3 linked regions of the Stegostoma tigrinum genome follow. The protein of the gene in region 1 purifies or fractionates together with the protein of each later gene. This does not show direct contact. Links are inferred from orthologs where the notes say so. Each region holds a gene or a part of one and is shown in the gene's direction. Other genes may lie near its edges.

Evidence for each region. The genes of interacting proteins can lie anywhere in the genome.
Region 2: the proteins of SWI/SNF-related matrix-associated actin-dependent regulator of chromatin subfamily A member 5 (region 1) and hmgxb4a purify together in Homo sapiens (affinity purification with mass spectrometry; 3 studies listed by BioGRID and IntAct, with this or other methods). This does not show direct contact. The link is inferred for Stegostoma tigrinum from reciprocal best matches to the Homo sapiens genes SMARCA5 and HMGXB4.
Region 3: the proteins of SWI/SNF-related matrix-associated actin-dependent regulator of chromatin subfamily A member 5 (region 1) and chromatin remodeling regulator CECR2-like purify together in Homo sapiens (affinity purification with mass spectrometry; 3 studies listed by BioGRID and IntAct, with this or other methods). This does not show direct contact. The link is inferred for Stegostoma tigrinum from reciprocal best matches to the Homo sapiens genes SMARCA5 and CECR2.

The regions. Positions count from the first base shown.
Region 1 is NC_081354.1:14,750,929-14,757,941, forward strand, and holds the start of SWI/SNF-related matrix-associated actin-dependent regulator of chromatin subfamily A member 5, read left to right. Parts: upstream 1-4,002; 5' UTR 4,003-4,196; coding exon 4,197-4,334; intron 4,335-7,013. UniProt on the Homo sapiens protein: ATPase that possesses intrinsic ATP-dependent nucleosome-remodeling activity.
Region 2 is NC_081391.1:4,172,928-4,180,557, forward strand, and holds the start of hmgxb4a (HMG domain-containing protein 4a), read left to right. Parts: upstream 1-4,609; 5' UTR 4,610-4,680; intron 4,681-4,988; exon of another isoform or gene 4,989-5,456; intron 5,457-7,630. UniProt on the Homo sapiens protein: Negatively regulates Wnt/beta-catenin signaling during development.
Region 3 is NC_081371.1:27,548,619-27,556,351, forward strand, and holds the start of chromatin remodeling regulator CECR2-like, read left to right. Parts: upstream 1-4,712; 5' UTR 4,713-4,762; coding exon 4,763-4,903; intron 4,904-7,733. Other genes in the region: adenosine deaminase 2-like, read right to left, coding at 3,028-3,343. UniProt on the Homo sapiens protein: Regulatory subunit of the ATP-dependent CERF-1 and CERF-5 ISWI chromatin remodeling complexes, which form ordered nucleosome arrays on chromatin and facilitate access to DNA during DNA-templated processes such as DNA replication, transcription, and repair.

The DNA.
Region 1 (7,013 bases):
GTTAGGTGCCAAGCAGCTGTTGAGGCTGAAAGCAATTTTGATCAATGAGCCAGTGTTAACTGCTCCTAATTTTACAAAAACTTCAGAAAGCTTTATTCATATAACTGCTTTAGCACTCAATTCAAGGTTTTTTTTTCATTCTCTTCACTAAATTGCCTATGGTATTTTCTTTTCATCTATTAACTACCACCTTTATCACCCAATCCAAATGATTACATTTATGGAGATGGTATTGCTTCAACATATAGATATGACACAGCTGAACCAATGTACTTTACCAAACTTTTTGACTATACTATATGGACAGCTGAACCATTCTTTAAATAGAATCCCTGCAGTGTGGAAGCAGGCTATTCTGTCCATCGAGTCAACACTGACCCTCCGAAGAACATCCCACCCAATCCTGCTAATGCCATACTTTACATGACTGATCCACCTAACCTACACAACCCTGGACACTTTGAGCAATTTCGCATGACCAATCTGCCTAATGTGCACGACTTTGGATTGCAGGAGAAAAACCAGAGCACGCAAAGGAAACCGCAGACTGTCGCCCAAGGCTGGAATTGAACCCGGGAACTGTGAGCCACCATGCCATCCCAAATTATTCATCTTTTGAAGACAGAAATACGAGCATCACCTGGTTTTGCTCTTCAGGATTGGAGCCAGTTATTGCCCCATTTCATCATGGCTCGGGATGCTCTAAGATGTTAATGAGATAATTTTCAGGCTTCTTTGAGTTATTCCTGGATTGCATAAATACAGTGTAATATGGAGGATTCATCCCACTATTCTATTTCTTTATTTCTCTATTTCTGTAACAAAGATTTTATACCAAGGTAAATCTTACCTAAGATGGTGTCTTGCGTGGCAACATTGTGTGATTGTCACTGCGCTCTTGAATGCCGTACTTGAGTACGTGACAATAAAATCTAAATCTAAATTTAAATCCAATGTTGCAATTGATACCAGTGACTTAGGGTAGGTAAGGTCATATTACAAGATGAATTGGGTTTAGAGAAGTCAGTGGGATATGTTTCCAACAACTTAAATCCACATCAACAGAGACACTCTACAGTAGGGAAAAAAAAGGGATTACTACTCCCCTTTGAGCATTTTGAGGTAAAAGTCCATCATGGCTGCAGGGAAGTGGGAAAATTTTCAAGAAACAAAATGCCAGGCTATTTCTGTGGAGTTTGCTATTACAGGCATATCACTTAAGAGTCATTGACACTGCAGCAAGAAATAACGTCATTGCTGATGTTCTGTCAAGAATGTAACTTTATTCAAATTATCAAATAATTAAGTATCGAGATAACCGCACAAGATGCAGGGAAAAGTGACTGAGAATGCGTGTAAATTTGTCTTAAGTTTTTGTATATTTTATTCTTGTTTAGACTGTGTAATTTCAAATCACTTTTCAAGACAGGTGATGTTATGGATGCTTTAAATCTAATTATTTTTGAAGGCTTTATGAATACTTGGATTCTTAAAAGTGGTTAATGAAAGTTGTAACAAAAATAGAAATTGTAGGAAAAGCTCAGTATGTCTGGCAGCATCTGTGAGGAGAAATCCGAGTTAACATTTCGAGTCCAGTGACCCTTCCTCAGAACGGATGGTAGCCAGGAAAATGGATGTTTATATGCAGGAGAAAGGGTTGGGGGAGAAGGTTGGGAGTAAACAATAGGTGGGGATGAAGCACAAAGAGAGAGAACAGTTGGACAGAAAGTTGTATTTTTTTTCAATAAATGTCTCTTGAAAGCCACATCTTGTGAAAACTGAGATAACAAGGTGTAGAGTTGGATGAACACAGCAAGTCAGGCAGCATCAGAGGAGCAGGAAAGCTGACGTTTTGGGTCTGGACCCTTCTTCAAAAATGAGGGAGGGGAAGGGGACTGGAATAAATAGCGAGAAAGGCGAGGTGCTGATAGAAGGTGGATAAAGGAGCAGATAAGTGGAAAGAAGACAGACAGGTCAAGGAGGCAGGGATGAGGATAATAGGTAGGAGGTGGGGGCAGGGGTTGATCAGTGAGGTAGGAGGAGCGGATAGGTGGGAGGAAAGACGGATAGGTCAAGGAGGCGGGGACGAGCTAGACTGATTTTGTGATAAAGTCCAGTGTGGGGAGATTTTAAAGCTTGTGAAGTCTACATTGAGACCATTGGGCTGCAGGGTTCCCAAGTGAAATATGTGGTGCTTGTGAAAACTGCTTGTTTACTGCAAACGCTCTGCCTGTGTTTACAACTGTCGTATTGCAGAGTCTGCCTTGGAGATTATATAGAATTTTTTGTTGACGGCCAGCCTGGGGAAGGAAATGAACTTCCCAGACTATCTCTCCTGTTTCTGAAGTGACATTTTATTGTAGGTTCATTCTGGAATGTGGAGCCCCGATCCAGTCTTAACACTGATTGTGCACCTGACAGTGATTGGAAGAATCTTCAACAGTGTTTTTCTGAGCAAGCTACATTGGCAAAGAAACCAGATACAATCACTGGACTTTCTTGACTGTCCTCTGGATACCAGAATGTCAGTTCAACGTTCCACACCTTATCTTTTTTTGTAGCCATCAACAACTAAAACCTAATGCCCAAAGCACCTTTGTTTCCCCAAAATGCATCTCTACAGCGTGCAATGATTCTTTTTCCCTTACCCAGCATGTTTTTGCACTTTTCCTTCCATGTTTCATTATTTCAGAGGTGAATTTTTATATTTTCAATTGCAAACTAAGTCTGTTAACCAGTGTTGTAACAACCTGAATAAGTTTGTTTATAAAAATCAATAATTTTGTGTTGCTTGCTTGATTTTAAGTTTAATATAGAATAAGTGCATGACTCATCATTTAAGGAAGCAGGAAATAATTAAATTTATGTTTGATGCAGCAGGACTAGAACCACGTCCGAAATAACAGGATTAGTGGTGCTAGATAATGGACACTTCCAACAATACTTTCAGGAACTAACCAGGAAATATGCTATTTGAGACACTAATATATAAGGTAGGATTAATTAATAACTTCATTGTAAAAGATCACTTGGGCAAGAATAATCATATGATAGATCAAGAGTGATTAAACAATAGAGAAACTAAAATGACGAATGGTTGATAAGTCTCTAGGACCCATTGACCGGCATCTTAGCTTCTTAAAACATGTAACTACAGAGTAAGTGTTGGATTGGTTATAAACTTCCAAAATTCCACAGATTCTGGAACGGTCCCAGAGATCGGAAAACTGCAAACACAAGAACTCAATTTCAGAACAGAGGCTCAAAGAAACCAGAAAACTATGGACTTAGACTGTAGTTTTTCGTCATCTATTCCATTCTCCTTTTATTCCCTCCTACTACCTTCCAACCTGCCCCTTCACTATCCTACACCCTCCACACTGCCTGGCCACCTCTATCCCGTTCCCTGGACACTCTTCAATCCCTCCTACTTCACTCCTTTACACATTCCATGCTGCCTGGGCTACCTCCTCCCTGCCGCCTAAAGATGCCTCAAACTGTCCCAGCTCCCTGACCCTTCACTACCCTAGACCATCCACAATGCCCAGCCACCTGCACCCTCTTGCTTCTCACCGCCCTGCAACCTTCCACCCTACACTCTCCTGCCTCTCTGCAACCTTCCACCCTGCACTCTCTATTCCCGCCACCAGACTGTTACTTAGCAACAGTTCAAACCAAAAGTAACAATCCGGGTAGGTTCTCGCGAGATAATGGGAACTGCAGATGCTGGAGATTCCAAGATAATAAAATGTGAGGCTGGATGAACACAGCAGGCCAAGCAGCATCTCAGGAGCACAAAAGCTGACGTTTCGGGCCTAGACCCTTCATCAGAGTCTCTGATGAAGGGTCTAGGCCCGAAACGTCAGCTTTTGTGCTCCTGAGATGCTGCTTGGCCTGCTGTGTTCATCCAGCCTCACATTTTATTATCTAGGTTCTCGCGAGTGCGGTCCCTGGGGGAGAGGGGGCGGAGCTACGTCTGGCGGGATTTGGCGAGGACGTTATCGCGAGAGCCGGGCAGCGGCGGAGGTGGACGAGTAGGCGGTTGAGCGGAAGATCGGAGCCGGCTGAGGGGGTGGGGGAGCCGGAGGAGCCGACCCGGCGGCAGAGTGGTGTTGGAGGGAAACGGTGTGAGAGGTCGGCTCCGGTGAGGCATTTTCAATTCAACCGTGGGGAGGTGCGGGAAAGGAGAACGGAACATGTCGGAAGCCGAGGAGAGGCCGAGCGCCAACTTGAACCTGAACCCTAACCCGGCCGACGGGCAGGTGGAGGAGGCGAGCTCGAAGCTGGGGGCGATGGCGGCCGAACCCCAGATGCAGACTCCGGGCACGGACCAGGTGAGAGGGAGAGAGATCGGATCCGTCGACAACCCCGTCCTGCCCGCCGCGAGAGCGGCCGGTTACCCGCCTCGTGTTCATCTTTATCGGGTCCCCCGTCATGTAAACAACCCCGTTCCTTCCATCCCCGGTTTACCGCCCAGGTCCTGTCTGCCCTGATAACGGGTGGTGGGAGGGAGGATGGGGTCCGGTGAAGAATACGGTCGCCGGCACTCGGTGTGTGTGTTGGGGGAGGGGGAGAATAGACTTGGTTCGTCGCTGACGGCGCACGCGCAGTCCGCTTCCCCTTTCCCCCTTCTTTGTCTGATCCTCGCCCCCTATCCTCAGGAGGAATCCTCCACCCGGGATCCGCTACGCCAACCCGCGGAAGGTCCAGAGGAGCCCTGAGGGCCTCTGGAAGCCACCGCGAAGAAATAAACGGAGGGTGGGGAAGGAGGAAAGGATCAATGAATCTCCATGGCCCTGCTTCGTTCGCTCGCTTCACTTTTTCTCAAACACACACACTCCAATCACCTCTACCTCCCACTCCCCACAGCTTCTACCCTCCAAAACGCCCCCTCATGCCCTGTTTAACCCCTTTACACTCTCTCCCTCCCTAACACCCCCCTTCGTATACCTTGTTTAACCCACATTTTTCTCTCTGTCTCTTTCACACTCTCCCTTTGTCCCTGACACAGAATCCTTTCACGTTCCTCTGTCACCGTAATCCCTTATGTCCCTCGTTTGCCCTATCCAGCATTAGCCCATCCCCAAATCTCCACCTCTCTTTAAAGAGACGTCAATGTCTCGGCCAGTCACCTCCATCTGCTAACTTCAGAAAGTACTCATTAACGTTTTGGGGCCAACATATCTGATAGGGGCTAATTGCAGTTTTAATGCATTTTATTCTGGGTCTGATTGCTGGTCAGCAGTGAGTAGTTTTGTTGGTGCCCCGTTGTCATTCTTCTGTTATTGCTGCTCTTGGTTTTGTAGAACTGTCTGTTCATTCAATATTTCCTGATTCCAATTTGGAATATGACCCACTTATTCAGCAGGGCTGGTTTTGGTCTGAACCCCAAATGTCACTTTACTGTCGTTCCTCCGTGCTAGTTAGCTGTGTAAAAGGTAAATTGTTTAACAGTTTTGGGTGAACTACTGGCTAAGCTATTTGTAGCCAATCAATATATTTACTTTGATGGAAGAGAATCATCCTACAAGGTATTGTTTCCAAGGCAGAATGTTCATTATGCCAGTTTCCATCTCAAGATGGTGTGACAGTGGTTTGATGGAGATCAGGCAATTTGTTTTTTGTTTTAGTTAGAAATGGAGAGAATAATTTTGATCAAAAGACGTGACTCCTTTAATAAACTGGAAAATTAATTTATTGGTACATGAACCTCAAATACAAGGAGTTACACTTTGAAGGAAAATTTAAAAGTTTGCACGATGCTAGAAAAAAATTGCAACAAAGGGATCTCGAGTCCATCGTTGTAAATATAAATGCACATTAGGAAGACCATTTTAAAATTGTAACCTAAGCAGTTGGGTTAATTTCTTGGTGGCTTACCTGACATAGACTGGATGAGCACAGGTGGCTCATCATCTCAAGATTTGAAATACTGAAGGCAATTGTTTCTAGGCCCCACTGTGAATTCTGTTCCCTAGCCACCAGATGCTTCCCCCTCATGGTTGCTTTCTGAGAGTGAGCCAGGGAATTTAAAACTTTTTGACCTCTGACTGTGTATTCACACTGTTACTAAAATATTCCACTTCCACTTTAGTAGCTGAAACCTTTATTGACATCATAACTGTCCCATCTTTATGGCCACCCTCCCATTTTCCAAACTTCATAAACTTGAGCGTATTTAAAATTCGATCTGTATTGGCACTCAATATGTTTGCTGATTATGCTGTACCCTAATCATGCAATACCTTGATTTTTAATATCTTCATCTTTGTTTATGAATGCCCAGTACTTTTTCTGTAATTGCCTGCAATCCTACCAGGTCACTCTGCTGTTCCATTTCTGGCTTCTTGCACATCTCTCATTTTAATTATGTTTAGCTATCTAAACGTGAGCTTCTGAAATACTCTTTCTAAAATTTTCTGTCCTCTAAACTGACCTGTAGATTACATTGATCCTAATACTTCTATCTGTGGCTTATTCTCAGTATTATACGGCAATGTTCCTGTGAAGTGCTTTGTATGTTTTATGTTAACATAGTTTAATCACCAATTTTGTATTTATACTCTATCTCTCAACCTGTTGCACAATTCTGGTTTCTATTTTGTAAAGAACTATGTAGGCCCTGGAAATGATGTAAAAGAAAAACCCACAAAGATATACCTCAAGAAGCTACCCTCTGAGGAAATAGCTGGAGCTATTTAAGCTCGGAGAGGCTGGTGCATGGCCTAACAAGTATGTATGCATACATGCATGCATGAGCTAGTTGGACTACATTTACCTTTTGTGTGCTTCCATGTATGACTTACGTAACTTGTTTTGGACCTAACTAGCTACAGCAGTTAGTCTGAAAGATACTTTGACCCCTTATGAACTGTTATAACTTCCTACTTCTTGTGAGCCCTAACTCTGTAGTCTTTGGTTCTCAGTCAGAAAGTGATTCAATTAGCACATGAACGTGTTGAGAACTGAAATTGGGCCTAACTCTACATTGTCAAGTTTGTTACCTTTCAAGT
Region 2 (7,630 bases), on another chromosome or scaffold:
ATGCTGGAAATCATCTGGCAGCATCTATGGAGAGAACAAAAACAAAGTTGCTGGAAAAGCTCAGCAGGTCTGGCAGTATCTGTGAAGGAGAAAACAGAGTTAACGTTTCGGGTCTGGTGACCCTTCCTCAGAACTGATGGTGGCTGGGAAAACGTCAGTTTATATGCAGAAAATAGGGAGGTGGGTGGGGAAGGGAGTAAACGAGAGGATAGGGCCCAAAGAGAGAGAAAAACAGTTGGATAGACAAAGGAGGGTGGGTAGTTGTTAATGGGGGCTGTTATTGACTAACAACAGGGAGTGTGTAATGGCAGGCTATGTGGTAACAAGGCCTGATGTGTGGGGTGGGGGGCGGGTGGCTGGGACATGGGAGAGTTTAGGCCCTAAAATTATTGAACTCAATATTGAGTCCGGAGGACTGTAGGGTCTCCAAGCGGAAAATGAGGTATTGTTCTTCCAGCTTGTGTTGGGCTTCACTGGAGCACTGTAGCAAGCCAGAGCCAGAGATGTTGGTCAGGGAGCAGGGTGATACATTACATTGAAGTTGCAGGCAACAGGTAGTTCAGGGTCTCTTTTGCAAACACAACATCGATATTCTGTGAAGCGGTTGCCAAGTCTATGCTTCGTTTCCCCAATGTAGAGACCACATTGTAATCAGTGAATGCAGCAGACTAGATTCTTGGAAGTGCAGGTGAAGTGTTGTTTGTTCTTCTTCAATTTCACTGCCCCTCTCATACCCCACTTCCTATAATGACTCTATCCCATTCTCTCAGTTCCTCTGTTTCCATCAGATATGTTCAGATGAGGCCCACTTCAACAAGGGAGCCTCCAAAATGTCCAGCTTCTTGTCGTGCCGAAATTCGTCTGTGGAGAGAAAGCAAGCTAGCATTTCAAGTCTAGATGACTCTAATGAAGAAAAACCAAAAGATCTGCGGATGCTGTAAATCAGGAACAAATACAAATTAGCTGGAAAAGCTCAGCAGGTCTGGCAGTATCTGTGAAGGAGAAAACAGAGTTAACATTTTGGGTCCGGGGAAACATTACCTGAAACTGAACACAAAATATTACCTCTGTTTTCTCCTTCACAGGTACTGCCAGACCTGCTGAGCTTTTCCAGCAACTTTGTTTTTGACACTAATGAAGAATCTGATGAAGAGTCATCTGAACTCAAAAACATTAGCTTGCTCTGTCTCCATGGATGCTGCCTGACCTGCTGTGATTTTCAGCTTTTTTTGTTTTCAGTAACCCATTTTCTCACTCTTAGCTCTTATTATCTCTTATTCAGTTTGCTATCTGTCTTGGCCTGATATCCATTATCTTCTTGTTTACCGGCCCCTTTCATATCTCTATCTCTGGGGTCTGTCTCCACCTATCTTTTCATCACCCCTTTGTCCCCAGTTTGGCTTCAGCATAAATGCCAGTTTTCCTAGCTGCCAGAGTCACCAGACTCAAAATATTAACTTTTCTTTCTTCCCAAAGATGTTGCCAGATCTGCTGAGTTTCTCCAGCAATTTCTGTTTCTGTCTTTTAAAAACCGGCAAATCCCTCTGTGCTGTAATTATCTTCAGACTTTCTCCATTAAAATTATGTCCAACTGCTCTATTCTTCCTGCCAAACTACATAATCTCACATTTTCCCACATTATATTCAGTCTGCCAAGTTTTTGCCCATTCATTCAACCTGTCTATCTCCCCTGTAAACTTTTTGCGTTATTGTTCATAGTTTCTCTCCCATCTATTTTTGTCCCATTTGCAATCTGGGTTCTCCAAGTAATTCAGCTATGGCCCAACTAACATCTTATGCAGCTCCATCATAACCTCCCAGTAATTGTATTCAATGCCTTGACTAATAAACACAAAGAGATATTGCTGGAAAGCTCAGCAGGTCTGGCTGTGTTTGTGGAGAGAAATCAAAGTTAACATTTTAGATCCAGTGACCCTTCCTAGGAAATGAGATGACAAAGTGTGGAGCTGGATGAACACAGCAGGCCAAGCAGCATCTTAGGAGCACAAAAGCTGACGTTTTGGGCCTAAACCCTTCATCAGAAAAGGGGGAGGGGGAGAGGGTTCTGAAATAAATAGGGAGAGAGGGGGAGGTGGATTGAAGATGGATAGAGGAGAAGATAGGTGGAGAGGAGACAGACAAGTTAAAGGGGCGGGGATGGAGCCAGTAGAGGTGAGTGTAGGTGGGGAGGTATGGTGAGGATAGGTCAGTCCGGGGAGGACGGACAGATCAAGAGGGCGGGATGAGGTTAGGAGGCAGGAAATGGAGCTGCGGCTTGAGGTGGGAGGAGGGGATAGGTGGGAGGAAAACAGGTTAGGCAGGCTGGGACAAGCTAGGCTGGTTTTGGGATGCAGTGAAGGGAGGGGAGATTTTGAAGCTTGTGAAATCCACATGATACCATTGGGCTGCAGGGTTCCCAAGCGGAATATGAATTGCTGTTCCTGCAACCTTCAGGTGGCATTGTTGTGGCACTGCAGGAGGCCCAGGATAGACATGTCGTCTAAGGAATGGGAGGGGGAGTTGAAATGGTTCGCAACTGGGAGGTGCAGTTGTTTATTGCGAACCGAGCGGAGGTGTTCTGCAAAGCAGTCCCCAAGCCTCCGCTTGGTTCCCCCGATGTAGAGGTAGCCACACCGGGTACAGTGGATGCAGCATGTGGATGTGCAGGTGAACATCTGCTTGATGTGGAAAGTCATCTTTGGGCCTGAGATGGGGGTGAGGGAGGAGGTGTGGGGGCACACTTTCTCCTCTATCCATCTTGGATCCACCTCCCACATCTCCCTATTTATTTCAGAACCCTCTCCCTATCCGCCTTTTCTGATGAAGGGTCTAGGCCTGAAACGTTAGCTTTTGTGCTCCTAAGATGCTGCTTGGCGTGCTGTGTTCATCCAGCTCCACACTTTGTTTTCTCAGATTGTCCAGCAGCTGCAGTTCCCATTACCTCTGATACAATTTTAACCCTTCCTATGAACTTCGGGAAGGGTTCTGAAGAAGGGTCACTTGAGCCGAAATGCCAACTCTGATTTCTCTCCACAGATACTGCCAGACCTGTGTTTGTATTTCTGATTTACAGCATCAGCAGTTTTTACCTCTACTAATAAAGATCATAAGACCATATCACACAGTAGCAGAAATTAGGCCACTCGGCCCACCAAGTCTGCTCCGCCATTTAATTATGGCGGATAGGTTCCTCAGGAATTCCATAATAAAGGCAGGCATTCCTTATGCATAACCACAGCTCCAAGATTTACAATCTTGGAAGACCAACCTTTAACTAATTTCTATTTACTTTATTCTGAATGTCATTTTGAATTGTGGGTCAGCTGGCAATATTGGCAGAGTACAAACATAAAATTGATATCAACACAACTAATAGAAAAGGTGTTCGTGCCCTTAGATAAGCCACACCCCAATTACCTGCAGGGGCCCCAGTGGCCTAATGGATAAGGCACTGGCCTCCTAAGCCAGGGATTGTGGGTTCGAGTCCCATCTGGGGTGTCCAATTTTTAAAGCCTACTTGCTCTGCAGGGATCTTGAATGTTTCTGACGTTCACTTCTCATCTACTCTGTCAAACTCCCTGTTCCTACGCTGAGATCGTAGCAAAGGATGGTTCAATAAAATCTTGAACAACGCAATTGAAGGAGTTTGGGGATATACAGAAAATTGGCTGAGTTTTTCACACAGACAGCACAGCCACGATGGGCTGAATGCCCGCCAAGGTTCAATTGCTTTGTTCTCATTGCAGTTTTGCGCAATATTCTCCACTTACTCAGAAACAAATGATTACTGGAGCAGAAAGATTAACTTTAATTTCTCTTCCCAGGCGCTGCCAGACCTGCTGACCTGTTGCAGCAATGTTTTCTTTCTGCTTCTGATTTACAGCATCTGCAGCTCCTTCGGTTTTCACCTCCACTTTCATTCTCCCACTTACTGCAAATACCTTCACACTGCTGCGCAAAATAGCAACGAGTAGCCACATCTTTCTCCTGTCTGCTCGGAGGCGAGATCAATTCATCAAGCAGCCAGCAATTTAGCATTTAAAATGTGCATGAGATGGAAGGGGAAAAAACCCAATCAATTACAGTATGAAAAAAAGAACACCACCTCGAGCGAAGTATTTAAATGCTTCAATTTCCATTTAAAACACGTAGCCCCAGTGGCCTAATGGATAAGGCACTGGCCTCCTAAGCCAGGGATTGTGGGTTCGAGTCCCATCTGGGGTGGGTTGAATTTACTTTACTTACGCTAAAGTAACTTTTGAATAATTGTTCCTGACTACGTTTCTTCAGAATTTTGATGTACGTATTTTACTTTCAAACCTTTTTGTTGATATTAATTCGGAACTTTTTCTCATTTCATTTTTGAATTTAAAACGTTTAATGAAATGTATCCACTTTTACGACTACATTCATAGAAAATTTTATGATTTTTCTACTGATTTTATTGGAATTTATTTTCTACAATTATTACTGTCAGATTTATTGTTAGGCATCTTTTTCCAGTGTCCTATGTTGAAACCGTGTAACTTTTACCTTATCCTTCTGCCTCCTGTAGGAAACATAATGTAATTACAGTTATTGTTGGCGTTTTGTTCGAGTTAGAAACATACACATACATTAACATTGATTATTTCTTTAATTTTATCACGTGTTATCTGATGAGGAATTACTCGCCCAAAGGTGAACTATGCATATTTGTGAAAACAAAATGTCATTTGCATTAGAGATAGCAGGAACTGCAGATGCCGGAGAATCTGAGATAACAAGGTGTAGAGCTGGATGAACACAGCAGGCCAAGCAGCATCAGAGGAGCAGGAAGGTTGACGTTTCGGTCCCAGACCCTTCTTCAGGGGAAAAAAAAATGTTTATTTGCATTGTTGAGGGTAACAAACTAATAGTTGAGAACGTGTCATTAGTGAAATATGAGCATCTGGACTGTTCAGTTTCCAGCTACAGCCTGGGATCCTCTATGTCACTTTAACTTAGAGTCTTGTCCAGACGGTATCCATTTTTACAACCCATGTTAGAAGAAGACTAGCGAGTACAAGGCAGTGACTTGCGTTGTTTACGTGATGAACAGTCCAAGGCGAAAGCAATTCGTTACTTGAGTTTTCTTTTCATACTCGTGTCGTGATAATGCGGTAGTAGTGAGACCGCAAGTGGTGACATTAGGATGGGAAGCTAAACTGTTGGAAAAGGCGGACCTAGAACTTCTGTAGAAAATGTATGATTTATGCGGTCTCGTGGCTTTTCCAAATTGCTTCCAGAATGATTAAGTTGTAGAAAGTTGGACAAGGACTTGGAGGGTACTGTGAATAGTACTCAGCCCGCGGCGGGGGAATGGATCGATGTGCTCTGTGCTCGTTTATTTCCGCCTGCTCGTGGCCTCTCCGCTTCAGTCTGGCCAAGATGGCGGTACTTGGCGAGGGATGGCGGCCCCAGTTGGTGTCTTTATGGTGAGAGTTTCAGTTTGACAAAGCGTGGGTTTGCGGGCGTCTCCCGAACCGTTAAAACAGTTAAACTCCGAAAAACCGGTTCAGATCCCCTGGGGAGCGGCGGGAGGAACGGTATCCGGTAGGCGGCCAACCTTATCGGACAAAGCAGCGGTGTTTCCTGGATGCCGCGGCCGAGGAGAGCGCGGTCGGTGGGCGGCTGCTGATGGAAGGTTTCGGGCGGATGAGCGTCGGAGGGTGGGGGAAGATGGGCGCAAAGATTGAGAAAGGGCGGGAAGGCAGAGCTGTCTAGGAAGAAGTGACAACCTCTGGGCAAATCTAAAGTCAAATATAGCAGCATGAAATTTAACTTTTATAATTTTAGTATTTGTTGTGTAACCAGTAAGTTATTTTAAATTGTGTTCATTTTTTAAAAAAAAGTATTCTTTTCCGAATTACATTCTTCTTTGAAATCCGAAATTAATCCATGGATGAGGAAGTTTTGCCTCTCAATGATAGTCTGTTTTGATTATTATGTAGATATATATTGGGGAAACTTGGTGACAATTGTGATGCTACAGAGGGTATTGCCTTAATTAGACGATAGAATAAATCACACAATTGTGGATGCTGGAAGTCTGAAACAAAAACAGAAATTTCTGGTGAGACTCAGCAGATCTGACAGCACATATGGAAGGAAAGAGAGTTGACTTTCGAGTTCAGTGATTCAGTTTTTTGTTCAGACCTGTGGAGTTTCTCTGGTATTTTTTATTTTGTGTAAGAGGGTATTATTTAAGAGTTTTCAGGACAGAATCAGGTCATTTGGATAAACTGGCCTGAAATATGTGTGTCTGTATTAACCTCTGCCCATTCCTCTTCACCACATGATGTCCTCCTTTTCTCCAGCATGTTTATAATGCATCATTTCCCTCCAGTCGTTTTAGCCAAGTCCCACATTCTCCTGTTTTTCAATGACTTGTACGCAGTACTCCAGAAGTGGCCTTATTAATATCCGGTACAACCTCAACATGATGTCTTAGCTGCTATACTCCTAGACAAAGCGATGAAGACAAGCGATTAAGACAATGCTAAACCACCCTGTCAACTTGTGTTGCAACTTGCAAAGAACTGTGTACCTGAATGCATGGGTCTCTATGTTCAACAACAGTACCCAGGGCCCTACCGTTAACTGTATAAGTCCTGCCTTTGGTTGTTTCAACAAAATGCACTGCCTTGTATTCATCCAAATTAAACTCCATCTGCCAAACCTCAGCCGGTTGGTGCAATTGATCAAGATTCCTTTGTATTCTTAGATAACCATCAGTGTTGACTATATCACCAATTTTGGTGTCATCTGCTTACTTACTAACCATCCCTCCTAAAATTCTCGTCCAAATTGTTTCTATAAATGACAACCAAAAGTGGAGCAGCTCCAGTCCCTGTGGAGCACCGCTGGTCACCGGCCTCCAGTCCGAAAAACACCACCACCACCCTGTGTCTCCTTCTGTCGAGCCAGTTTGTCTCCAGTTGGCATACTCTCCCTGAATTCCATGTGATTTAGCTTTACTTATTAATCTGTCATGTGGAACCTTGTCAAAGGCTTTACTGTCGTCCATGTAGCCAATGTGTACGAATCCTTTTGGTTACATCCACAAAAACTCAGATTTGTGGGGCGTTGTTTCCCAAGTGCAGAGCCATTTTTTAAGACTCCTGTTCTGAACAAGACTGTATAGAACTGGAAAAGTTAACTTTGTTTCTCTCTCCACCGAAGCTGCCAGACCTGCTGAATTTCTTAAGTGCTTTCCATTTCTGTGCCTCTTACCACTGTTCATCTAACTCAAAAAGGTTCCTTTTGTGATAGGAAAATAAGGAACAAGACTCGACCATTCTGCCCCTGGGCCCTATTCTGCCCTTCACTTGTTGTGGCTGATCTATTCCCTCAGGACACTTTCCTGCACTAGCCTCATATTTCTGGATGCTCATAGCATCCATAAATCTCTACCTTGAATGTACTCGACTGAGGATTCACAGCTGTCTCTGATTTTAAAAAAAAATTCCAGAGTTTTTAAATCCCTTCAAGTGAGCAAATTCCTTTTCAGTCACTGCAAAATGGTCAACAATTTATTCTGTGAGCATACAGTTTGTTCCCAATCTTCCCACCATTTCCCTGCCGAACCCTTTGAGAATGTTACATGCTT
Region 3 (7,733 bases), on another chromosome or scaffold:
GACAGGTCGGCACAACATCGAGGGCCGAAGGCCTGTACTGTGCTGTAATGTTCTATGTATATGTATTTCTGCAACATGTACAAATAAACATGCATGGAAGACTCCCTCAAATTAGAAACGGAAGTAATAAATCTCATTTGGTGGGAACACCAGACAACTGACACAATTTAATTCTACTCAGTAAATTACTTTATGAAATCTTAAAAAGGAGCTATCCTTAAAGTTTGGATAAACATTAGCATAATAATCCCCAACAGATTTAAAAATAAAACAAAGACCTGGGGATCTGAAACAAACAAACAAAGACTGAAATGGCAGGAGAAACTCAGCAGGTCAGGCTTCTGTGGAGAGAAAACAGAATGATTGCACATGGACTCGAAAGGTTAACTCTTGTTTTATCTCACAGACCTGCTGGATTTAGAAATAGCTAAGTGCACCCAGACAAATCTTGAATTTTCACGTGCAGTGTCACTGGAAAGCAATAAAAGTTGATTAAAGGTTTTGCACAAAGCACTATCATACTATTTACACAGAAGAATTCAGGAACAAGTCATAAATGAATTTATGTGAGCACATGTTGTTTGGTTATTCTTTGCATAATTGATTCCTCTCAACCCTGGTCTCGAGTTTGCTTTTATTTCTAGAATGCAGGTTACACCACAGAAAAGTAAACAGATCCAAGTTTGATACAAAGTGCAAAGTTCCTATATTTCAAAAGGTCACTTCTTGGCTCTACAGGCACGAAATAACATTTCAACTCATTTTCATCAATTTCATAATATCTACAAACCTTTAAAGGAACAAAATCAGAGTCATCTGCAACCTTCTGAACCCTCACCGAACTGCCCTGTCAAAAATTACCTTTTATTCTGATCTTTTATTTCTTAAAAGAAAATACACCAATATCTCATGTTATACAGAATACTTGAAACATCCTCTCAGTTCACACCGTGGGAGATTCACCAATAATATATAAAAAGCTGTTACATTCCCTCAGTAACGGTTAACAGTTTGTCTTGCATTCATAGTTTTTCTTAGTTTGTGCTTTGATAAGTGCCTCCTCCCCAGACCCTTGATCAATACAGTACACCTCCAGATTTGTGAAATCCCCAACAGTCACACATCATTTTATCCAACGACTCACCAAACACAGAGGTAACAAGAATTGTAGACGCTGGAGTCAGAGTCAATACAGTGCGAAGCTGGAGCAACACAGCAGGTCAGAGGTGCAGGAATGTTGACATTTCAGGTTTACACCCTTCATCAGGGCTGGGGAGGGGGGCAAAAAAACAGAGCTCAGAAATAAACGGGGAGTTGGGTCAGAAGGAAGGAAGGTTGGTGACAGGTGAACACAGGTGGGGGCTGTAGAGATTGGTCAGTTGCAAGAGTAGGGTGGAAGGTAGGAAAGAAGATGAACAGAGTGTGTCAGATTAAGGAGGAAGGGATGGGAGGGAGGGTTAGACTTGGGATGAAGCCGGGGTGGGGGAGATTTTGAAACTGATGAATTTTATGTTCAGGCCGTCAGGCCACGAGCTCCCCAGTCAAAGTATGAGGTGTTGTTCCTCCAATTTGCGTGTGGCGTCATTGTGGCACTGGAGGAGGCCGGCCCAGGATGGACATGTGGCCCAGGGAGTGAGAGGGAAAGTTAAAATGGTTGGCAACCAGAAATTGTTGCTGATTATAGCAGACAGAGCACAGATGCTCTGCAAATCGGTCACCAATTCATCAACTTTACCAACACCTTTCACCCCAACCTCAACTTCACCTAGACTATCTTGGATACTCCTCCCCACTTCCTGGACCTCTCCATCTCCAGTATCTGTCTCAGCACCAACATCTATTTCAAAGCCACTGACTCTCGTAGTCATCTTGCCTACGCCTCCTCTTACCCACCCTCCTACAAGAATGCAATCTCTCACTCCCAATTCCTCCACCTCCACATCATCTGCTCCCAAGATGGAGCATTCTACTCCTAGTCAAACCTTACCCCCTCCGATGATCCAAACTGCCTCAACTGCATCTCCCGCACTTCTGCTCTGAAATCCCCACTCCTCAACAAAAATAAAGACAGAGTCCCCTGGTCCTCATATACCATTCTACCAACCTCTGCATCCAGCAGGTCATTCTCTGCCACCTGCAATCTGACCCCACCAGAGATATTTCCATCTCCACCGCTTCGGCCTTTTGTATGGGCCGCTCACTCCGTGACTTGCTCATCTACTCCACACTCAGCACCTTTCCCTGCAAGTGCTGGAGGTGCAACACCTGCCTCTACAACTCCTCTCTCACCTCTGTCCAAGGCCCAAAACAAACTTTCCATATCCGACAGGGGTTCACCTGTAGCATCCTCCAACCTTCAACACTGTATTCCGTTGCTCCCAATGTGGCCTCCTCTGCATTAGTGAGACTGAGTACAGACTAGGTGACCGATTCACGGTGCGTCTGCACTCTGTACACTATAACCAGCAACACCGTTCTGTTTGCCAACCTAACTTCCCATTAACATGTTCATCCAGGGCCTCCTCCAGTGTCCCAATGGTGCCACACACAAACTGGAGGAACAACATACTCGGCCTCTAATGGCCTGAACACAGAATTCACCAGTTTCATCTCTCCCCACCCCAGGGCCTATTTCCAAGTCCAACCCGCTTCCCCTCTCGTCCCTGCCTCCTGGACATGAGGCAACCTGTCCATCTTATCTCCCATCTATCAGCCCCACCCAACTAACTGACCAATTCTCACCAGTCCCTACCTGCATTCACCTATCACCATCGCACCTACCTTTCCCAGCTCCACCCCTGCTCTCTATTTATTACACAGCTCCCCTCCCAGTCCTGGATGCAGGGTCCCGAACCGAAACGTCGACGTTCCTCACTGCCGAACCGGCTTGATTCCTCCAGGTCTACACTGTATGTTGAATAAAGTGGTCATTTTATCTTCATTTGAAAGTTTTTTAAAAAAGCCAGTTTTCTAAAATATCCGCAACCCATTACGCAGTCGATTAATAAACCTCATATCATTGCTTACCTTTGGGCATCATCTGTATAATTTTAAAAACTGGACTTTGTTCAATTAATTCTTTTGCTCTGAAAAAGTGCATAGCTGGGGCAAATTTACCAGTTTTCATTCCTTCCATTATCTCCTTTGCTTTGATTCTCTTAAGTATACAATTAACCTGCAGTTCTTTTTCAGTCGAGAGGAGATTACCGCCTGTAAATTGGAACTGCTCCAGTTTTATCAAACTAGCTCGGTCGGCCGGAGTTGGAAACGTTTGACACACCGCAAACAAACAAAAGAAAAAGGAAAACACAGCTGCCTCTTTTCTGAAATTTGGTGCCTTCATTTTCAAAAGACCACACGGTTCTGTATAATATTCAAACGTTAGCGAGAACTGACGAGAACACGAAACGTGCAATCAATTATAAACTCAACTTTCGCTTCTGCAAAGATCTTGTACTTCCCTTTAAGGGGACAGCTGAAGTAACTGGACTGTTATTTGATATAGGAAACGCGTGCACCCACGTAAAGAGAAATTGTCACTTGTGTCCTGATGCCCATGACAGAAGGGTGACTTTTTTTAAAAAAAAGCAGTCACATCTCTGCTGATTACTCGGGGGCAAGGATAAGAAGTCGAATACATTTAACGCAATCAAACACCGAAGTAAAGGGACTGGGTGTTTTGGCAGGCGACAGCATTGAAATGGATGGGCGGTGCACGGTGTCACTCGCCCTTTCCCCAGGGAAGGGGGTGGGGGTGGGGATGGGGATGTCTTAGGGGAGTAAGGAAGGTTTTAGCCCGAGCGCGGGCTCCAGAACAACAACAACCGTTTAGAACGCGGAGATTCTGGGAATGGAACGTTGGGTGATCCAACAGAAACGCTCGCGCACTCTACCACTAGTTGCAACCTCCAACTAAACAACAAACGATAAGGCTCTCGACACCAATTCTAAAGTGCAGGAACTTAATATAGCAAGGAAGGAAACTAAAGAATAGCTCGATTATTCAATGGATAGTTTTCTCCCCACCCCAGTCATTCCTTCCCAAAATCCACAGACCAGCCTTATTAAACAAACTCGACGTTAAAACCCCCGGGGTGCGCACAATATATCCAGGCACTTCGCCCCACCTCCCCCATCCCAAAGGACAGCGCGGCTCAGCCCATTGGCTGGTACCCAGGAGACCTCTGCGTCACTTCCTGTTGGTGGCGACGAGCCTTTCTACTTTCTCGCGGGGGTGTCTGAGTTCCGAACGTGGCAGCGACTGCCCAACAAGCCGCCATTCTCCCCGTTGCCTCGGGCTCGGCCCGGCGTTCGCCATTGTGCACAGCAGGGGTGGAGGGCTGTCGGCAGTTTTGGTGAAGGGATGCGCCGGGCGTTGAGCAGTTCAGTGCGTCCTGGTCTCCCTCCGGTGTGTTGAAGGATTGGAGCACTCCCCTGTTGTTGTCCGGCCATCTGTTCCTCGCTGAGAATGGGGCTGCGAGATTGTTCCAGGATTACACACGCACGCCTGCACTGAGAGAGAGAGAGGGGAAGGAAGGAAGGAAGGAAGGAAGGGGAGAGAGAGAGAGAGAGAAGAGGAGAGGAATAGACCGGCAATGGCAGGCAGCGCACACACTTAACACCCAGCACATTCCTTACGCCAACCGGCACTAGGAGACTGGAAACAGAGGGGGTCTGGTGGAGGGGAGGGTGGGGGTGGAAATTTACACAAGGAAGCCAAGTTCGAGGAAAACTATCTCATGTGAGGACAGGGATTTATTTGATGCCATTTAAAATGTCCGAGGAATGTACATCTTCGACCGTTTCGGTAGAAGAAATTCGTTCTTGGTGGGAAGTACCCGCCATCGCACACTTTTGCTCTTTATTCAGGACAGCATTTGGGCTCCCAGACTTCGAAATTGAGGTAATTCTGTTTTTCCCTTCAATGAGTTATGAGACTTTTTTCTTTCCTGTAAATGATTAAGTTGCCTCTCGAAGCCCCTGTCATTTCAAAGAATTCAAAGTTAGTAATCATATGGATACAGGATGTCAATCTCGCCTCCCAGCTGCTGGCTCAATTCTATTGTGGTTCTAAAACGGCTCGATTGCAATCACCGATACACTGATGTGGACTTTAATCATCGTTGTTTACCTTTTGTTGTATAAAACGTTTGTCTTAGTTTTAAAAAGTTTAATAAAGTTGGTATCTCTTGGGCTTGAAAACGGGAGGACATGGTGTGTTCCTTTCGTAAAGGAGCGTGCCTTCCGATAAGGTGCTGCCGTTCTTCATGATCTGCTCTGCCACACATCCATCATAGCCATGGCATTGTTTAGGAGAAAGACGAGCCACATGCTGCTAACAAAGTTAGCTGATTACCCTTTTAAACTACAATTTTTAGTAGAAAAGCCTCCGACGAACAATATATACCCAATAACTTTTAAAATGTATATTTTAACAAAACGGAGTCAATATCAGCGTAGGGGCGTTTCGCAAATTGCTCGATTCATCGGCAAGGCGCAGAGTATTTCGGTCTATTTCGTCACTGTTGATAAAACACAAGTGTAACAAATTAAACTTGCTTAGACGATCTTAAATTCGATTTCTGGCATATAGGTCTTACAAAGAAAACAGCATGTTCGTTAACGTTCTGCAACCCGACTGGGAAACGAAATTCAGAGAATCATTCGATTTCAAGTAAAATTGAACAAACACAATCATTCATCCTGCTCTGTCCGATATCTTCTCTTCTCTTCCCCCCCCCTTTTTTTCCCCCCCATTGTTGTTGTTTTTGTTCGGCGAGTCTATTGTTTAAAGTTGTTTCTCCGGGAGGGAGGGGAGTTGAAAGGCTTAATTCACAACAAACGTTTGCTGTGATTCTGGGAGGAGTTTTTGTTTAAAATCCAAATACGATGACTTTTTTTGTATGTATGAAGTTGCAAGTGAGAAACCAAGTCCCTGACTTGAGTTGGTGTTCAATGTGTTTTAAACGTAGAATATGCATCTTGTGTGAGGCATGTTCTGCAGCTCTGATCAAAATTCTCTCTTGCTATCTTTGTGGGTCTCTAAATGTGTCAACCAACCATCAACTAGACTACGAATGCTCTGTTTATTTTGAAGGATAAGTTTGGTTTTTCCTTCGTTGAAATGCAACAAGTTGTTTATTTCCTCCATAATAGATTTCCAATTTAAAATACCTTGCTGCGTTGTTAGCGATATATGAAAGAGAACATTCTAGAAATTTAACATGTTGGTAGGACGAAGCGCCCACTCCTAAAATGGAGTGACCAGTTCCATTTTACCTTTTAACCTCCCGCTGCCCTTCTCTTTCTGCCACACCCCCCAACCCCCCTCCCCCCCCACCCCCACCGAAATCCATTCACTGGTTTGTTTGATTTCCCGTGCTTGCTGTAAATAGTCTGCCGATCGGTACCTCCGTGACAGACTGTATTCTCGCACTTTTCAAATTGTTTTGCTTGTGGGCCTAGTGAAATTGCTACTTTTATGCGTGTTCATTTTGATTTCACAGTTTGTTTTACAATCATGTTGCTGTCCTTGGTAGCGAAATTTTTTGGTTGAATACATACACTTTGGTTGTAGTTAGTGTGTAGTTTAGATAATCTGAGGTTGACGTTCATTTCATTTCTCACTGTGTTTACAGTGGCTACTTAAAAGTAGCAAATTGTATAACCAGGTAAATCTGTTTGGTTTGGGGTGTGGGAGTTTTTCTCAATGCGTAAACAATCTGGTACTGGTGCTTTACCCCATTGAATGAGTGGCACCAACTGCACATGGAACTCTTATTCCATAAGCCGTTTCTACTCATCATAACTTGCATTTGTACAGCACATGTGGCATTTATCAAGGTAATTTGAATGCTGTTTCTGGCTGGCCTTTATTCTGGCTTTGGAGTAATACCATTGTGAAATCGGATGACACAGTCCTGCAGTGTATGTTGATTGTGATGTAATTCTCGTACATTTAGCAGATGGCTGCATCTTTTTTTAAACCTGCCAGCTACTCGCATTCAGCTGGTCACTGGATGTGCAATTTAGAGACTTCATACCTAGCATGAAGTACATTGTTTGTGAAATAGTTACTTTTGATTCAATAACTCTTGTCACTGGTGGCAGAAATAGTAAATGCATTACTGCGGTTTCAATTCCTGGTTCTCTGCTGAGGTGCCTGACTTGAGTTACAATGAGCTTCACTACTTTAATGATAGTATTTGAATATGTAATGAAAATAGGATCTGGTTTTGGTGTAGCGCTCATGTGCGAATGCCTATTTAGACAAACATCAGATGGTGCGTGGCATTCATTTGAGCTGTCGACCAATATGATTCAGTACCTTCAGGGAAGAATGGGGAAAATAATGAACTATATACCAGAGGTGTAGCTGCAAAAGTAATTTTTTAGCTGTGTAAAACTGTAATCATTAATTTGAAACAAGCCATGAAAATGGAGGTATGTTACAAGTTTGTCTGGTAGTGAAACTCATTGCAGTTGAAGTACTGCAGTTGAAAGACTGAAAAAGATAAATGTGACCCTTTTTTGAATATGTTATTGTTGCTGCTTGTAGAAATATTCCCTGAATTCTTGGTGGCAGCTTTAAGGTAGGATCAGAACATGTACTTGGAGAGTTTGCAATAATTCTCATCCCATTGAAATCGCAGCTTAGTCTGTTGGAAAAATGTGGTTTAAAGAACAGATATATCCTTAGCAAATTTGAATCTTTATAAACTGAAGAAAAAGGA